Arabidopsis thaliana: one gene and its partner. The protein of the gene in region 1 interacts with the protein of each later gene in a pairwise test. Each region holds a gene or a part of one and is shown in the gene's direction. Other genes may lie near its edges.

The links.
Region 2: the proteins of PCL1 (region 1) and AT4G12670 interact in a two-hybrid assay, tested with the Arabidopsis thaliana proteins (one large-scale study listed by BioGRID).

Annotation. Positions count from the first base shown.
Region 1 is NC_003074.8:17,180,302-17,187,598, forward strand, and holds PCL1 (Homeodomain-like superfamily protein), read left to right. Parts: upstream 1-2,768; 5' UTR 2,769-2,946; coding exon 2,947-3,820; coding exon of another isoform or gene 3,821-3,918; exon of another isoform or gene 3,919-4,585; intron 4,586-4,587; coding exon 4,588-4,688; 3' UTR 4,689-4,750; exon of another isoform or gene 4,751-4,884; 3' UTR 4,885-5,053; downstream 5,054-7,297. Other genes in the region: AT3G46630 (DCL protein (DUF3223)), read right to left, coding at 837-1,007, 1,196-1,310, 1,708-2,045; AT3G46650 (UDP-Glycosyltransferase superfamily protein), read right to left, coding at 5,260-5,479, 6,289-6,943, 7,079-7,297. UniProt on the Arabidopsis thaliana protein: Transcription factor that is essential for the generation of the circadian clock oscillation. Is necessary for activation of CCA1 and LHY expression.
Region 2 is NC_003075.7:7,469,164-7,477,270, forward strand, and holds AT4G12670 (Homeodomain-like superfamily protein), read left to right. Parts: upstream 1-2,842; 5' UTR 2,843-2,914; coding exon 2,915-2,944; intron 2,945-3,066; coding exon 3,067-4,598; intron 4,599-4,718; coding exon 4,719-4,773; intron 4,774-5,143; coding exon 5,144-5,356; 3' UTR 5,357-5,888; downstream 5,889-8,107. Other genes in the region: AT4G12650 (Endomembrane protein 70 protein family), read right to left, coding at 1-1,002; AT4G12680 (uncharacterized protein), read left to right, coding at 5,941-6,034, 6,332-6,440, 6,528-6,857, 6,951-7,239, 7,615-7,721, 7,846-8,011, 8,086-8,107.

The DNA of each region.
Region 1 (7,297 bases):
AAGAATCAGCGTGGGACCTACCTTCGTTTCTTTCTTTGAAAGTTACTAAACGTCGTCGTTTTGTGGGGTAAGTATACTTTAGTTGGAGTACAAAATAATTTTGTTTGTTTGTAAATAATTTGTTTCACAAGGTAAAAGATCCATTTGACCCCAAATTAGAAAAGAAAAAGAAGGTAAAAGATCTATTTGTATTGATGTGAAATATATAATATAAATCTTTGAATTTTGGAAATGATGTAAATGTGTTCTTGTATATGTTGATTATCAACATATGTTGACATATTTTTTAGTTTGTTTAAGGACTAAATGGTTATTGGTTCAACTTTAATTTTGTCAACTAAATGCTTGTAGTTTGTTAACCAAAACATTTGACTTTATGAGTTATATATATGGAGTCAATTATGGGTTGGAATAAGGTAGATTCTTCTCTTATCCTCATCGTTTGGAAACATTACAAAGCGTACTGGTTTGGGTTTCTTTTTGAGATTGTTCATTTTGGGCTTTGCTCTCTGACAGTTTAGACTTTGGAAATTCTCTAGCTACTTCGAAAGTTTGAAGTGACAATATTTTTACTTGCAAAGGATGTTCGAAGTTTCAGCTAAAAAGATTTTACAACATGCAAATATTGTATTCCATAACTAGAATTACTTTCGGTCTCAAAAATTGATTGTTCTGCAGTCTGAACCAACTACTATTTTCCTAACTCATTCAAGTCTTCCAATAGATTGAGCAATTTATAAATTTTGTACAACAAAGCTTCATAGCTGATTGTGTTATTTCAGCTAAAAATTTATGAGAATTTGCTGTGATGATGAGTGGGACAGTTATACAGATTTTTAGCTACTAGCACGCTTAAAATGTTCACGAATAAACCTCTCAGCGTGAGACGGGTACTTATCTCGAACATAGGCTCGAAGACACTTTTGGTACGAGAAATCTATCCATCCACCATCTGTTCTCACAACAAAGAGGCATCTTGAGTGCCTGAATTGTGGATGCCGATCAACCTGCCAGTAACAAAGTAGCACACTCATAAGTCCATGCACATAAAGCAAATGAAGATTTATGGATAGAGCATGTAAGTAAGTCATATATCTATCATGGTGATTCGAGAACTATGCACAATACCTCAAGATAATTTCTATATGAGTAGAGCTTAAAGAGAGAGATATCGGGTTAGCTCGAATTTACGTACCATTATAAAATCAAGACCACAACCAATTTTGTCTTTGGAATATGGGTGATAAGGAAGAAGCTTTTCCATGACAATTTTCTCATCCTCAAAATCTAAGCGTTCTCCATCCAAATACCTGCTTACCAAAAAGGAAAAAAAAAACAGCTCACTAGAACTGCAAAAAGTAATCTACACAAAGAAAACAGCAAGTATGCTCTGAAGCTAGCTTCAAATGTCAATAGTTCACTAGAAAAAAGTTGTAATTTGCCTAATGTTCAAGTAAACTGAAGATATATACAAGAGCATCTCTCACTTTCTGCAATGACCACTATAATCCTATCATCCATTGCTAAAGGATCCTCAACAATAAGCCAAGAATATCATCATGTGTAATAGTCACCTCAAAAGGCCATATGGTGTCTCTATGTTGTTTGATTAAGCTACTGGAAGAAGCTATGAGCCTATACCTTCAATACTAATCCAAACATGGAACAGCTATTGAAGAACAATCAGCAAGAATTTGAAGAAATTACCTATCGGAATGAAGAATTTCTTTAGCGAGAAGAGAAATAGGTTCAATATCTCGAAGAATCTCAGCCTCTAGATTCTTCCATTTCCGATAATCAGGATCTTCATAACGCCAGCTATTATCAACAACAGGCGATGTCACGTTCATCGCCGCCGCGCCGGATCCCTCCACCGGAGAAACAGAATCATTATTCTCGTAAAACTGTGGTCTATCAGCAAGAGAACACAACAAACGCCGACGGTGACTGAGAATTCCACCAGCTACGATACCAACTTGATGACGATGGTTGAGAAATCCGTTGCGGAGAAGCGGAAGCGTTCTGAGAAGAAGTAGCGAGGTCATCGACCACAATCAAGGAGTAATATAGACAATAATAACGAATAAAACCCTAATCTGTACTAATCACTCGAAGAAGATGAAAAATTGGGGAAATCTCAGAGAATCAGAAATTTGAGAAGAAGATAACGTTTCGTCAGTTTGTGAAGTTGGGGCATCGAACCCGTGACGTTGAAGAAGCTAAACAGAGTAACTAAACCTCTCTGAGCCTTTCCACAATAATTATTTTCATTTTCTTAAAAGTTAGGTGCCAGCCAATCTGTGCCGTTAGATTGATCTTTATATGCTTCTATAAATATCTAAAACAACAATCCAACGGTGGAAAGATCACATTGCGTGTCAGTACTGTAGATACTCATCACCGAATCTTTCTCCTCTTTTCACTCTCCAGCTGGCCGAACCCACCGGTTTTGCCCACTTTCTCTCTAGGCCCGCAAACACAACTTGCTAAGTCGGTAGTAATTTACTGAAAAACCCTCACAAATAGCTGACTTGGCTCTTTTCACTCCACGTGGCTCCATCTTACGTGCCTAGTTTGGTAATTTCAATTTCAATCACCTAGATCGTAACTATTGATACATAATGTGAACTGATGACGTGTTGAAAAGAGATTGGTTAGGTCGGTTTGAAAAGATATTTAGAAGATCTAAAATATCTAGCTAACTCGTCCACGTTGGAATTAAAATATTGCGCTTTTTCCTGGAAAAGAAAAATATAAAACAAGTGATAATCTTCTCTTTTTCGAAATTGTTTCACTTCTGAAAAAAAAAAAAAAAAAAATTGTTTGCTCATCATCTTCACAAACCAAACTTCTCTTCTTCTCCGATCTCAGATTTGAATTTTTATCGATTTTGAGCTTCGAAGAGCTCAATCTCTAACTGAATTTCGAGAAATTAGAGAGTTTGAAATGGGAGAGGAAGTACAAATGAGCGATTACGATGTTTCCGGCGACGGAGATAGGGTTTCTGAATGGGAGATGGGATTACCAAGCGACGAAGATCTAGCATCTCTTTCTTACTCTCTGATTCCACCGAATTTGGCGATGGCGTTTAGTATCACACCGGAGAGAAGCCGTACGATTCAGGATGTGAATCGTGCATCGGAGACGACGCTCTCGTCGCTACGTGGTGGATCTTCAGGTCCAAATACCTCGTCGTCGAATAATAACGTGGAGGAGGAAGATCGAGTTGGATCTAGCAGTCCTGGATCGGATTCGAAGAAGCAAAAGACATCAAACGGTGATGGAGATGACGGTGGCGGTGTGGATCCGGATTCGGCGATGGCGGCGGAAGAAGGAGATTCAGGAACTGAAGATCTATCTGGGAAAACACTTAAACGACCGCGTTTAGTGTGGACACCGCAGCTACACAAGAGATTCGTTGACGTTGTAGCTCACTTAGGGATCAAAAACGCTGTTCCGAAGACGATTATGCAGCTGATGAACGTTGAAGGATTAACTCGTGAGAACGTTGCGTCTCATCTTCAAAAGTATAGGCTTTACCTCAAAAGGATGCAGGGATTGACTAATGAAGGTCCCTCTGCTTCGGATAAGCTCTTCTCTTCAACACCTGTTCCTCCACAGAGCTTCCAAGATATCGGTGGCGGTGGCGGTAGCAGCGGTAATGTTGGAGTGCCGATTCCGGGGGCGTATGGAACGCAACAGATGATGCAGATGCCAGTTTATGCACATCATATGGGTATGCAAGGATATCATCATCAAAATCATAATCATGATCCTTATCATCAGAATCATCGTCATCATCATGGAGCTGGTGGAAATGGTGCGTTTGAGTCAAATCCTTATATGATGCAGCAGAATAAGTTTGGATCCATGGCTTCTTATCCTTCTGTTGGAGGTGGAAGCGCAAATGAGAATTAAAAAGAGTCTATAGATGGATTCAATGGGGGAGGAAGAGATAGGTGAGCTTGTTATTGCTCGTGGAACTGATAATTATTGTCAAGTTTCTGTTTTTTTAAGTACAGTACAGTTATAATTCTTACTCGATTTGATCGAAATTTTCATCAAGTTTCTGTCTTTTACTATAAATGGTATACAATAAAGTCTTAATAATCACTTGTTTGGTGATGTTGACAGAGTTAATATAATCAACTAAGTTGAATTTGATTTTGAGATTCTTGTGCTATGTTGAAATGTTATTGAGAATTAAGTATCAAAATTGCTCTCATGTGACTTGAGACTTAATGTAATCCAGATCATGTTTGATTCATCTTCGGAATTATATGGTGGTTTTGAAAACCATGTGTTTAATTTTCTCTTCGGGACTAGGTAACTAACACTGTGAGTTATGTCAAATCCAAGAGAGCATATGTGTCATGTGGCTCGACATTTTCTTGTGTACTCTTTTTGCAGAAGTGATAGTGTCATGTTATTTTGGTTTTGGTTTCCTCATTGGGAAAGTCTTGTGATGTTTTTTGATCTAGACAAGATATTACCTGTGCAAGCTTTTAGGTAGAATGAGCAGTTTCTCTTTTATGTTTGGGTTCTGCATCTTTTGCAGGTCTTGATCATATTTGATTGTTGTTACAGGTTCTTGGTGTCTACAAAATTTCTTATCTTTTGCGGAGTTTTCCACCGCAAAGTCCCAAATTGCATCTGTTCAGGAGAGGATCATACAAAGTATCATGTAGAAGCTAAACCAAGAGAAGACTGCAGACAAATTTCATATACTCATTTTTCTATCTTGTAAGAGGTAAGTCCCTTTGTTTTATTTGTCTGCAGACTTCTTAAAGTGGTAATCAAGAGAGTGAATTGTTTATTTCTGTGAGAGATGGCGTCAGACACAAACTTTATTTTAAAAATTTATAAACCAATCAAATGTTTCAGAAGAAGCCATTTTAATACAATCAAGTATTCCTCATATGATGACCTTACGAGTGATTGGAGAGCCACATACCAATGAACGTCCAACAAAAGGAAGAAAGTGACATTTTAACAAAAGCAAAAGTCTTTCCAATGTTTCTTGCTGACATAGGTTTCAGCCACTTAGGGTTCTACTTTGAGATTTAGATAATAATTTCAAGACCTTTTCATCTCCAATATATGTTCATAATTTTCATTAATATATGATTGTTTCTCTGCACATCATACATTCAGTGACAACCTTATCTTCAGACCTTGATTATCTTATTTAATAGTAGCGAGATTCTTCTAGAATAGAAAAGTACATAGATTTCTTAACATCCACACAAGTAATTGTCTTCATAGAGTCATCATGAAGTGTTCAAACTCCTTTAGCGAGTTGTGTAAAGAACCTCCACCTCTAACAGAGGCTCTCAGCTCCTCCTTCAAAGTGACGGCTCTCTTTCTCATTTCCTCTCCTTCTTCGAAAACCGTTAACCTCTTCACAGCTCTCTCGACCGCTCCTCTTTCTAGATCACCCTCCACTTGAATCCCAATTTTCCAAACACACTCCAAGTACCTTGCGTTCACCCGAAAATGGCCTGCAAATCACCGGAACTCCTTCGCTGATCATGTTTTCTAGTATCGAGTTGCATCCTTTATGGCTCCAAAACGCCCCTATTGCAGGATGAGCAAGTACTTCCTTCTGTGGAGCCCTTTTCACAATGTAGTTGATACATATGTTTTCTACTTGTTTATAGGGCGGAAGCTACTGTTACTAAGAAACCTGCTTTTCCTCCATTTCCAAAACCTACAAGAAAACTAATAAGTAGCTCTCTAAGCTCCGGGCTTATAGATTACTCTGCTTCTCATCTTCTTTGAACGTTTTATATATATAAATATCAGATTCTCGCTTGTGGACACTAATTCATCCGTATAATGTTTTGTTAGCTCTCTTTGCGCACATGTGAAGCATGTGGTCGATGGTGTACGCAAGTAGTTACATCTCTTTATTTTGTTAGAGAGAGTAGTAATCAAAGACAAAAGAAAAGATGTTTATTGTGATGCAACAATTCTATATTGAGCAAACTGCCAAGAGTGATACAAAAGAAACCACACTTTGCAAATTTTGCAACAATTCAATTAATATTACATGAAGTTCAACATCTTTGCTTTGTCTTCAAGTAATTGACAATATCTTCCAATGCGTTGTATGAGGCGCCTCCACTACTGACAGAGGCTTTGATCTTCTCTTTCAGAACAAGGGCTCTCTCTCGCATCCCCGCACCTTCGTCATCCACGATCAACCTCTTCACAGCTCTCTCAACCTCTCCTCTATCCACTTTACCTTCCACCTGAAACCCTATTCTCCAAACACTTTCTATATACATTGCATTCAACTTTTGCTCGCCATGAAAGGGCTTGCAAATCATTGGAACTCCTTCTCCAATGCTCTCGAGTATTGAGTTCCATCCACAGTGGCTCCAGAAGCCTCCCACTGCAGGATGTCCAAGTACTTCTATCTGCGGTGCTCGTTTCACAATGTATCCTCTTTCAGAGACCATTTTATTGACATCCTCTGGCAATGACTCTATTCCGTTAGTGCCAAGGATAGAACCCGCTCGGATAACCCATAGAAATGGTTGGTTGCTATTACACAACCCCCAAGACATCTCCAAAACTTCCTTGGTTTCCATTTGACCAAGTGTTCCTATGCTTATGTATATCACTGACTTTGGTTTCTGCTTGTTCAGCCATTCAATGCAGCTCCTGTCCTCTTCAAGTAAACTAGAAGGTGATGAATCTGTCATGTGAAGAGGGCCTAATGGATACACAGAAATTCCTACTTTTTGTTCCAGCCATGACAGAGACGAGCTCTCTAGACAGCTCACCGTGTTGATGATAACAGCTGAAGCTGTTCTTTTGTTGGCTACTTCCCTACAGAGCTCAAAAAATCGATCTAGTGGCCCCATTCCTGAAGTCGGTAGGTCTTTGTATCGTAATGGATACAAATTTTCCACCACCTTGTCTTGCATATCAGGATCTGCAAAGTTGAAAAAAACAAATACCAAGGTTAAGTTAAAAGAGTGATCATTTCAAGATTGGTTATTAAGCTTGTTTTGGTTACCTTCCATGTCAAGCAAGAACTTGTCTGCATTGAGTTAGCTAATTACACAACGTGAAACGTAATTTGCAGCACTTTGAGTGCTGAATATGACACTAGGAATGCTGAACTCCTTAGCTGCAGCTCCACAGAAGTACATGTACTCGTCGTAAATGATACATGCAATATCATTGCCTTGTTGTAGCAACAACTGACTTATACAGTCCTTGAAGCTTGCCTCGCTTGTTTTGTTGAGCGTTATCATAGACTCGATTCCTCCGAGTTTCTCGAATT
Region 2 (8,107 bases), on another chromosome or scaffold:
AGAGAGCTCCTCATTCATCTGTGCCTGTGCTTCCTTGTCCAGTTCCTCATACTTTGTCAAATCCCTTCTCACTGTCCTCAGGAATATGACGAAAACTATACCGGCCAGAAAGAAGATCACCATAAGCGAGTTCAAAATAGAGAACCAATGAACACGAGCACCTTCCATTTTCAAATAGGCATCCCATCTGGATGGCCATCTTGTCTCACTCTTAACAAATTCCACTTCATAAGTGAAGGTTATTCTTTCATGTTCTTTAATGATCTGAGCTTTGTCAAGCTCCAATGGACAGTTAACTGAAGGAACAGGGTCATACATGTGAAGCTTCGTCATTTTTTCAGCATCATACTTAACACTGCAGGGAACAACCTCAAATCCAACAATCTCATACCCCAATGCCTTCTTCTTATCAGCTTCAGAGATCACACCCATACCTTCTTCACCAGTACCAATCACCTCCATGACATTGCCTTCATACTCATGAACCAAAACCTTAAACTTGAGGTGATTAATGATGTAATCATCATTACTGTTAGGTGGCGAATACCCAACAGGATATCCAGTCCACTGGATAGTAACCCCATTCTGCTTAGCGAATCTCAAAGCAGGCAAGTTATCAAGAATCATATTCACTTGATACAACTCACGAGTTCTCTGTTTCAAGAGCTTGACCTCATGCTCATTCAAAGGACTCGTAGTGCATAAGTAAAGAGACTCATTGGTTCTCATCCGAAACCTATAAGCAGAGTTATCAATCTGATCACCCATGAGAAGCTCACCAAGATTCTCAGCACTTTTCTTGATACCTTCAAGTGGTTGGCAGTAAGGAAGACTATAGTAACTGAAAGGAAGCTCAGTTTCAATAGAAGTCAAGGAATTGACTTTGGCGAAGATAGAGTCTCCATCTGAATATGTGTGCATATAACTCCCTGGTAAGTAAAACCCATTGCAAAGCTGACTAACAAACACCAGTAACACGAATACTCGATACACACCAAACATTGTCCCTTCCTGTATCAAAATACAAAAACTCTCTCACGATTAGTAAAAATCACTACTATTGTAACAGATTCAAGCACATTCTCACGAATACATTGAAATCGAAATGGTTTATGCATGTAGATCAGATTCGTAGTAACCAGATTCGGGATTAATGAATCAGATCGGTGGATCAATAGATCAGATCTCAAATGGATCATAAACGCAAAACTCAGAAGCTAATTGATATAATGGAATACGAAAACGATGAATACAAAATCAGAAAACGCGAAAGAAGAAGCAGATGCGAATCCAACAGATCTCAGAGTATTCGAGAGCAAACCTGAGAGAGAGAGATCCAGGTATGGAGATCTACGAGGGAGTCAGATCTAGAAGAGGTGGTCGAGGGACTTTGGGTTGTTTCGAAGGTCACGCTGATAATCTCTCTCACTGCTTTGCTTTGGTTGCTTAATGCGTTCGCAAAGAGAGCGAATAACGAAAATCAAGAAAATCGTGGGTGTGTTGGGTAGTTATTCTCTGTGACGCGCTTATACAATATGTCGGTGCGGTAATCACCGTGCCTAACTTCATCTGAGGCCAAAAAAAAAAAAAAAAAAAACTTCATCTAAGGCCTTGAATTTCTATTGGTTGAACTGGTTATAATTAATTATATTTTTAAGTAAACGACGGTTTTTAAATGAGATTTTTGTAAAATAGAGAGAGTATAATGTAGTTAATTTTTAAAAAAATAAAACAAAGCCAAATGACCAATTTTTTGGAAACAAAAAATAATTTTATCACATATAATTTGAACATTTTTTTTTTTGCTAAAGAATTCAATATTTACTACAATTTTGAATTATTTTGAACTCTTATGTAAGAAAGTAAAATTTACACAAAATACATATTTTGAGAAGCTGGCATCCGGCATTTTGACATGCGTATTTTCTCAAACATTAAATACATTAATATATATGTTAACTAGCATTATAATAGAGTAAAATATTCACAAAATAATGTTTTGAGAAGCTGAAATGTAACATGATATTCTACAGTCTAGCAATTTGAGGTTTTCTACCGAATTTTCATAGTTTGTATTGTAAATTCAAATTAAATTTAAGTTCATGTAGTTATAAGCACATAAAAAAGTTCGGTGAATGGAAACGATAAAGCAATTTAGTTCATGGTGAAATAGGCCACATGATTATTAGCAGGATTCATAGATAAGAATGTTAACAAAATTAAATGGTAAATTGGGTTTAATTAGGTTTATGACCTCCGGTCGTCCTTACGCTATTATCTCCACAGCGTTTTTGTTTCATCTAATCAACGAAGTGAACTTTCGAAATCGATATCTGAATTTTGATTTAAAAATTGGAGGTAATCATTCACCAATCGGTTTGTCAACGTAAAAATCTCTCTCTGATTATATGAATTGATGTGATGTGAGTTCTTAGAATTATGATTCATCGAATTGGAAAAAATAAAGTTGTTCGTTGTCAGTAAAATTAGGGTAATTTGAATCATTAACGAGTATATGTATGTATTGTAAGACATGATTGATATACATAATGGTAAAAGAAGCTAAGCATGAGTAAAGCCGATTATTGGCAGAGATAGTTTTTTTCATCAGTCTTGATGATTGTTTCGATTAATACTCTATTGGATCTTTATTTTATTCATGAACTTGATTAGAATTTGTTCCTATATGCATGATTTTAGGGTTAAAATTTCTCTTGAATTTGGTATATTCTCTTGAATTTGATTAAAATTTTATCTGTTTTACTTTAAAGTAAAGTTTAGTGGGCACAGCCCAACCTAATGAAAATAAAAGAAGCCATAAACAGCCCAATAAGAAAGAAGTAAAGTGAACCAAATCGCAGGAATTAACCTCTGAAACGATGAACAGAAGAAATTGCAAAAAGAAGAAGAAGATATGAGTTCTCGAATTTTATCCTCCGATTCGGTAATCTTCTTACGTTTCTCTGTACTTACTGGAGATAAAAAAAATCGAAAATTCTCATCTTTTAAGTCAATTTTGTTACTTTCTTTCGAAAGTTTGGTGATTGTTTTGATGTGATAACGCAGGACGACGTTGATGAAGAAAACCCGAAAACTCACGAGAATGGTCCAATTGGAGGAAAGACTCAAAATTTAGGGCAAAGCAAGGGAGGTGATAGTGATAATGTTGTAAAGACTAATACTTGTTTCGTGTGTGATGGGAAAGACAATTGGGTTTTGGTATGTTACGGAGAGGAATGTACTATAGCTATTCATCAGAGTTGTGCATCTGATGAACCTGATTTCGATGAATTTGGAAATTTCTATTGTCCTTATTGTTGGTATAAGCGTGTAGTTGTCAAGTGTTTGGAGTTAGGGAAGAAGCTTATGCTGACTGACAAGTCTAGGAAGGGATGTAGAGAGAGTTTAGGAGGAGTAGATGTGGGTTTAATGATGGAGAAAGAAGCTGGAGGTGTTGAGAATGTAGTGGAGGTTAATGTTTCTGGAGCAAGTGGTATGGTTAGTGGGAAGAGAAGGGAAGGTGATGGATTAAACAATAAATGGATAGTGATCGAGAAGAGTCAGAAAATGCAAAAAGTTGCTGCTGAAACTCATTCTCGGGAAAATTCTAAGGCTGATGATATTGATTCGGATAAGGGAAGAAAGCAGCGAGGAAGATTTAATGAGAAGAATTATGAAATTTCATATGCGTGCATTTCTAATGCAGGTGAGGGAAGAAAGGGAAGGGTAAGAAGAGGTAATGAGAAAAATCATCAAGCACCAGAAGCGCACAGTATTGATGTTGGTGGGGAAAGAAAGCGACAGAGAAGATGCGATGATATAAACCATGAAAAAGCACAACCGCACAGTTTTGCTGTTGGTATCAAAACAAAAGAGAAGAGGAGATACAGTGAGAAGAACCAGCAAAACAAAACAGTTGCAACTACTCATGAACACGACGTCTTAACTAATGATGGAAGAACAGAAGCCCGCGATTCTGATTTCGGTGAGGGAAGAAGTGGGCAAGGATGTTTCCATGAGAATAACCAGCAAACGAAAGTGTCGTCTACTGAAAGATGCGAGCAGGAAATCCCTAGGACCAATAAAAGAGTGTCACTCGGTTCTGGATTAGGGGAGGGGCGATATCGGGAGGGAAGACATATTGAAAAGAATCAGCATACCGAAACTGTTAAAACTGAAACTCATGGGAAGGAAGTTTCTAAGGATAGGAAGAGAAAGCGGGAAAGAGGAGTGGAAAGAGATGGGGATGAGTTCTATTTGGCGGAGAATCAAGACAGACAATGCCAAGCTGATATGAGAAATGATGATGTGGCCTTCAATAAGCAAGCGACTGGTTTCAGCACAGTTGAACAAGTAGAGCGAAAGTCTGTATCATCTATTTCATCTCCGGAGTCTACAAACAATGTTAACGACCCTAATGTTGCTTTTCAAGAGTTAGCTTTGATCATCCACCCTAAGGCTGGTGTACAAGAACAACCTATCGAAGCACGACCTTTACGCTCTGTCTCTTCGAAGAAACCATCTTTTCAACCTGAAAAATACGGACACAAAAGTTACCTGGAGAAGAATGGACCTGCGTCTAATGATCCCGCACAAAGGTTTCTATTCATTTGGAACTTCGTGACATTTAAATTGCCTTTAGCATAATGGATGTTTTTGAGGAAGATTCCTAAGCAGCTTGTCACGGGCTTTAAGCTAACAATTTTTCTTCCATGTAGTGCTACAAAAAGGAAAAGACGATTTTGGACGCTGGCAGAAGTAGAGATGCTTAGGGTATGTAACTTGCACATTTCTCTCTATCCTACGTATATTTCATGCTGCAGTTATCTTGGTTTTTCGTAATTTGGAGCTTACACATTCAACGGCTCTTTTTAAAGGTTTATGCCTGTTTTAGTTTATCAGCTTTATAAAAACAGCCAGGGTAGCTGGTCTTATCATCTCCTAAGAGGCGGTATTTCATTTTCAGTCGTAATGCAATTGTTTTGTAGACTAGACTTCATAAATAAGAGCTTATCCTCCAAATCATTGTGAAATTATATCTGAGATATATAACATTGTTTGTGGCTGTCCAAATTAAATATTTTGCTATGTAGTGCACAATGGTGATAAATGTGGATTTGTCTAACTTCGTCCTGTCCTTTAGGTTGGTGTGCAGAAATTCCCTGGCGAGAGGAATATTCCATGGCGCAAAATCTTGCAATTTGGTCGGGATGTGTTTCATGATGAACGGGCTCCAAGCGACCTCAAGGACAAGTGGAAGACGTTAAACAAAATTCCTTCTGACACGGGGAAATGGGTAAGCCTTTCAACTGAAAGACAACCGAATTACTATGTGTCTGAAGTTAGTTCTGAATGACCTATCGGACTTAGCAAGCATTAGAGCTTAGAAGAGTAGTAGATAGGGCTTTGCAGATTTTGTACAACCTTGCTTGCTCCTAGTTTGCTAAATGTATATGGAGCAAAACTGATCTTACCTTTTAACACTAAATTCAAAAAAAAAAAAAAAAAATTGATCTTACCTTTCTAATTTGTATGTCCTCGGCAATGTAGAGAATTCACAAGAGTGAGATGATATTTCATGACACTTGAACACAAGTTTATACTAAAAATCATGAACCAATGTTGTACTTCAATATCTATTAAACTTTTACATGTCTTTTGATATGGATTTCTCTGCAATTGTAAGACAAAGAAGAAAACAGTAAGGTCAATTTTACACTTCGTGTAAACAAACTTTTTTCTAAGTTTTTAATGAATTAAAAAATAGATGTTTTAGACAGAAAATGATGAGGGTAGAATTCCCGCCAGTGCGTGGGTTCAACTATAAATCCTTTAACCGCCACGTGTCCTAGAAGAGTGCCACGTACAGCCACTATCCTCCACTTTCGGCTTATTTCTGTCGGTTTATTCTCTGCTCACTGAGTGGCAAGAAAAAAAGAAATGGAAGTTCCCAAAGGATTCTTTGAGAAACTGTGGAGTTTTGTCTCTTTTCTTCCTTACTTCTTCCTCTTGCTGCTCCTTGGCGTCACCAAGGGTATGAATCTTCTCTTCTTTCTTCTCTCCATCCATAAGAATGGAGATGTTAGCTTTGCTTATTAGCTCTTGAGTTTGTTAGAGCTCCAGAGTCGTGTAAACTCGAATCTGATTTTCTGCACTCTTAAGGTTAGATTTTGGTAAATGGAATACTTTAGGAGGCTACTGAAGCTATTTGAATTCATATTAATAATGAGTAATGATGTTTATTTACACAAAACTTATTGAGTATTTTAGTAAAGCACTGTAAGTTATGTACGGTGTAACGTTCTCCCTCTTGTTTCGTTTTGGTTCTCAGCCCTGATTATTGGTCCAATATCATCTGCTATAATTTTGGTTGGCAATTCATGTGTCATCATTGGCCTTTGGCCAGCACATTTCATTTGGACCTACTACTGTTTGGCAAGGTGTATACCCATCAAATTTGAAATACTTTGTTTCTTGTTTCATCTCCTTTTAATTTCCACTAAATATCTTGTTTTTGTAACCTCTAGAACCAAGAGAATAGGGCTGGTTTTGAAGACCTTGGCATTGGTATTATTTCCACTGCCTTTGCTCCTCTGGCCAGTTGCTGGTATAGTAGGAAGTCTCTTCGGTGGAATCGCCTACGGGTTTTTCACGCCTCTTATGGCTACATTCGAGGCTGTAGGAGAGTCTGTTACTAGCAAATGCTACCATTGCTTTGTTGATGGTTCGTTCTCCACTATTAAAGGGAGTTGTACTGTGGTTACAGACTTCACAGATTTCTGCTTCCATTCTTACTTCTCCTACATGGATGAGTTAAGAGAAATGGTTTCGGCCGATGTTGAACCCTTAGAGATAAAGTAAGAATCTGAATCGCTCTCTTCGTTAGAGATAAAGAAGAACAATTTTTTTTTACAGTTTACAGTGATGGCGTAATCTCATTTTCTTACCAGGTTGTCTCGGCTACCTAGTTGTCTCCTTGCTAGTCTCATAGGTGTGATGGTAGATGTTCTTCTAATAACAGCTGTCGCTGTTTACAAAAGCCCATACATGTTACTCAAAGGATGGAAGAGGCTATTGGAAGACCTTGTTGGTAGAGAGGGCCCATTCCTAGAGAGTGTCTGTGTTCCATTTGCAGGTCTTGCCATATTGCTATGGCCACTGGCTGTCGCGGGAGCTGTAATAGCTTCAGTTTTATCCAGCTTCTTTCTTGGACTGTACAGTGGAGTCATCGTTCATCAGGTTCACAGCCTTTACTTATAGTCCATTAAGTGGTTTTATAGCTTACAGATTTGGTTATGTTGATGTTCTTTGGTTTTGAGGCTTCATTAGATTCTATGTCGAAAGGATTTGAAAGGAAACTGCTTAATTCTTGAGCTCCTCTGGTTGTGATTTTTAACTATTTGTGAGATAGTTACTGTTGCTTCGACAATAGTTCTGGCTAGTTTAGATACTTTATGTTAGTTAAACTGCGGCTTAGCCATAGATTTTGTAATTTAAGTATCTGCCATGAAAATTCTTAAGACATGTATCTTGAATGATCGCTATGGGTAGGCACTGATAATTTATGGTCGGTTAGGAGGTCTCTATCCTTTAATCGTTTGATTATTTATTCAGGAGGACTCTTTCAGAATGGGACTTAACTATATAATTGCTGCGGTCTCACTGTTTGACGAATATGTAAATGATTTACTCTATTTGAGAGAAGGAACTAGCCTGCCGAGGTACATAGTGGAGGCTCTGTTCCATTAATATTTCATATCCACGACGTAAACCTTCGATTTCGTGATTTAGCGTTGGTTGATTATAAATTTGTGACTGTAAAGTATATATGCTTGTGACAGCCAGGCCTTGCTATAGGACGAAAACAGAGACTGTTCATGGGAAAAGAATATTAGGAGAGAGTAAGAACGTTGATCTCAAGAGCAAAAGAAGCAGCTCCCTGGGTTCAAAGCTTGTTTCAGAACAGTCGAGGACACTGAAAAAAGCAATTACACTATATAAACCAGTTCAGGTATATTAGACCTTTATTTGACTTCATAGCATAATCTCCAGTGAGTAAGTGAACACACGTGTTTCTCTTTTAAGGTATGGGAATGGTTGTTTAAGT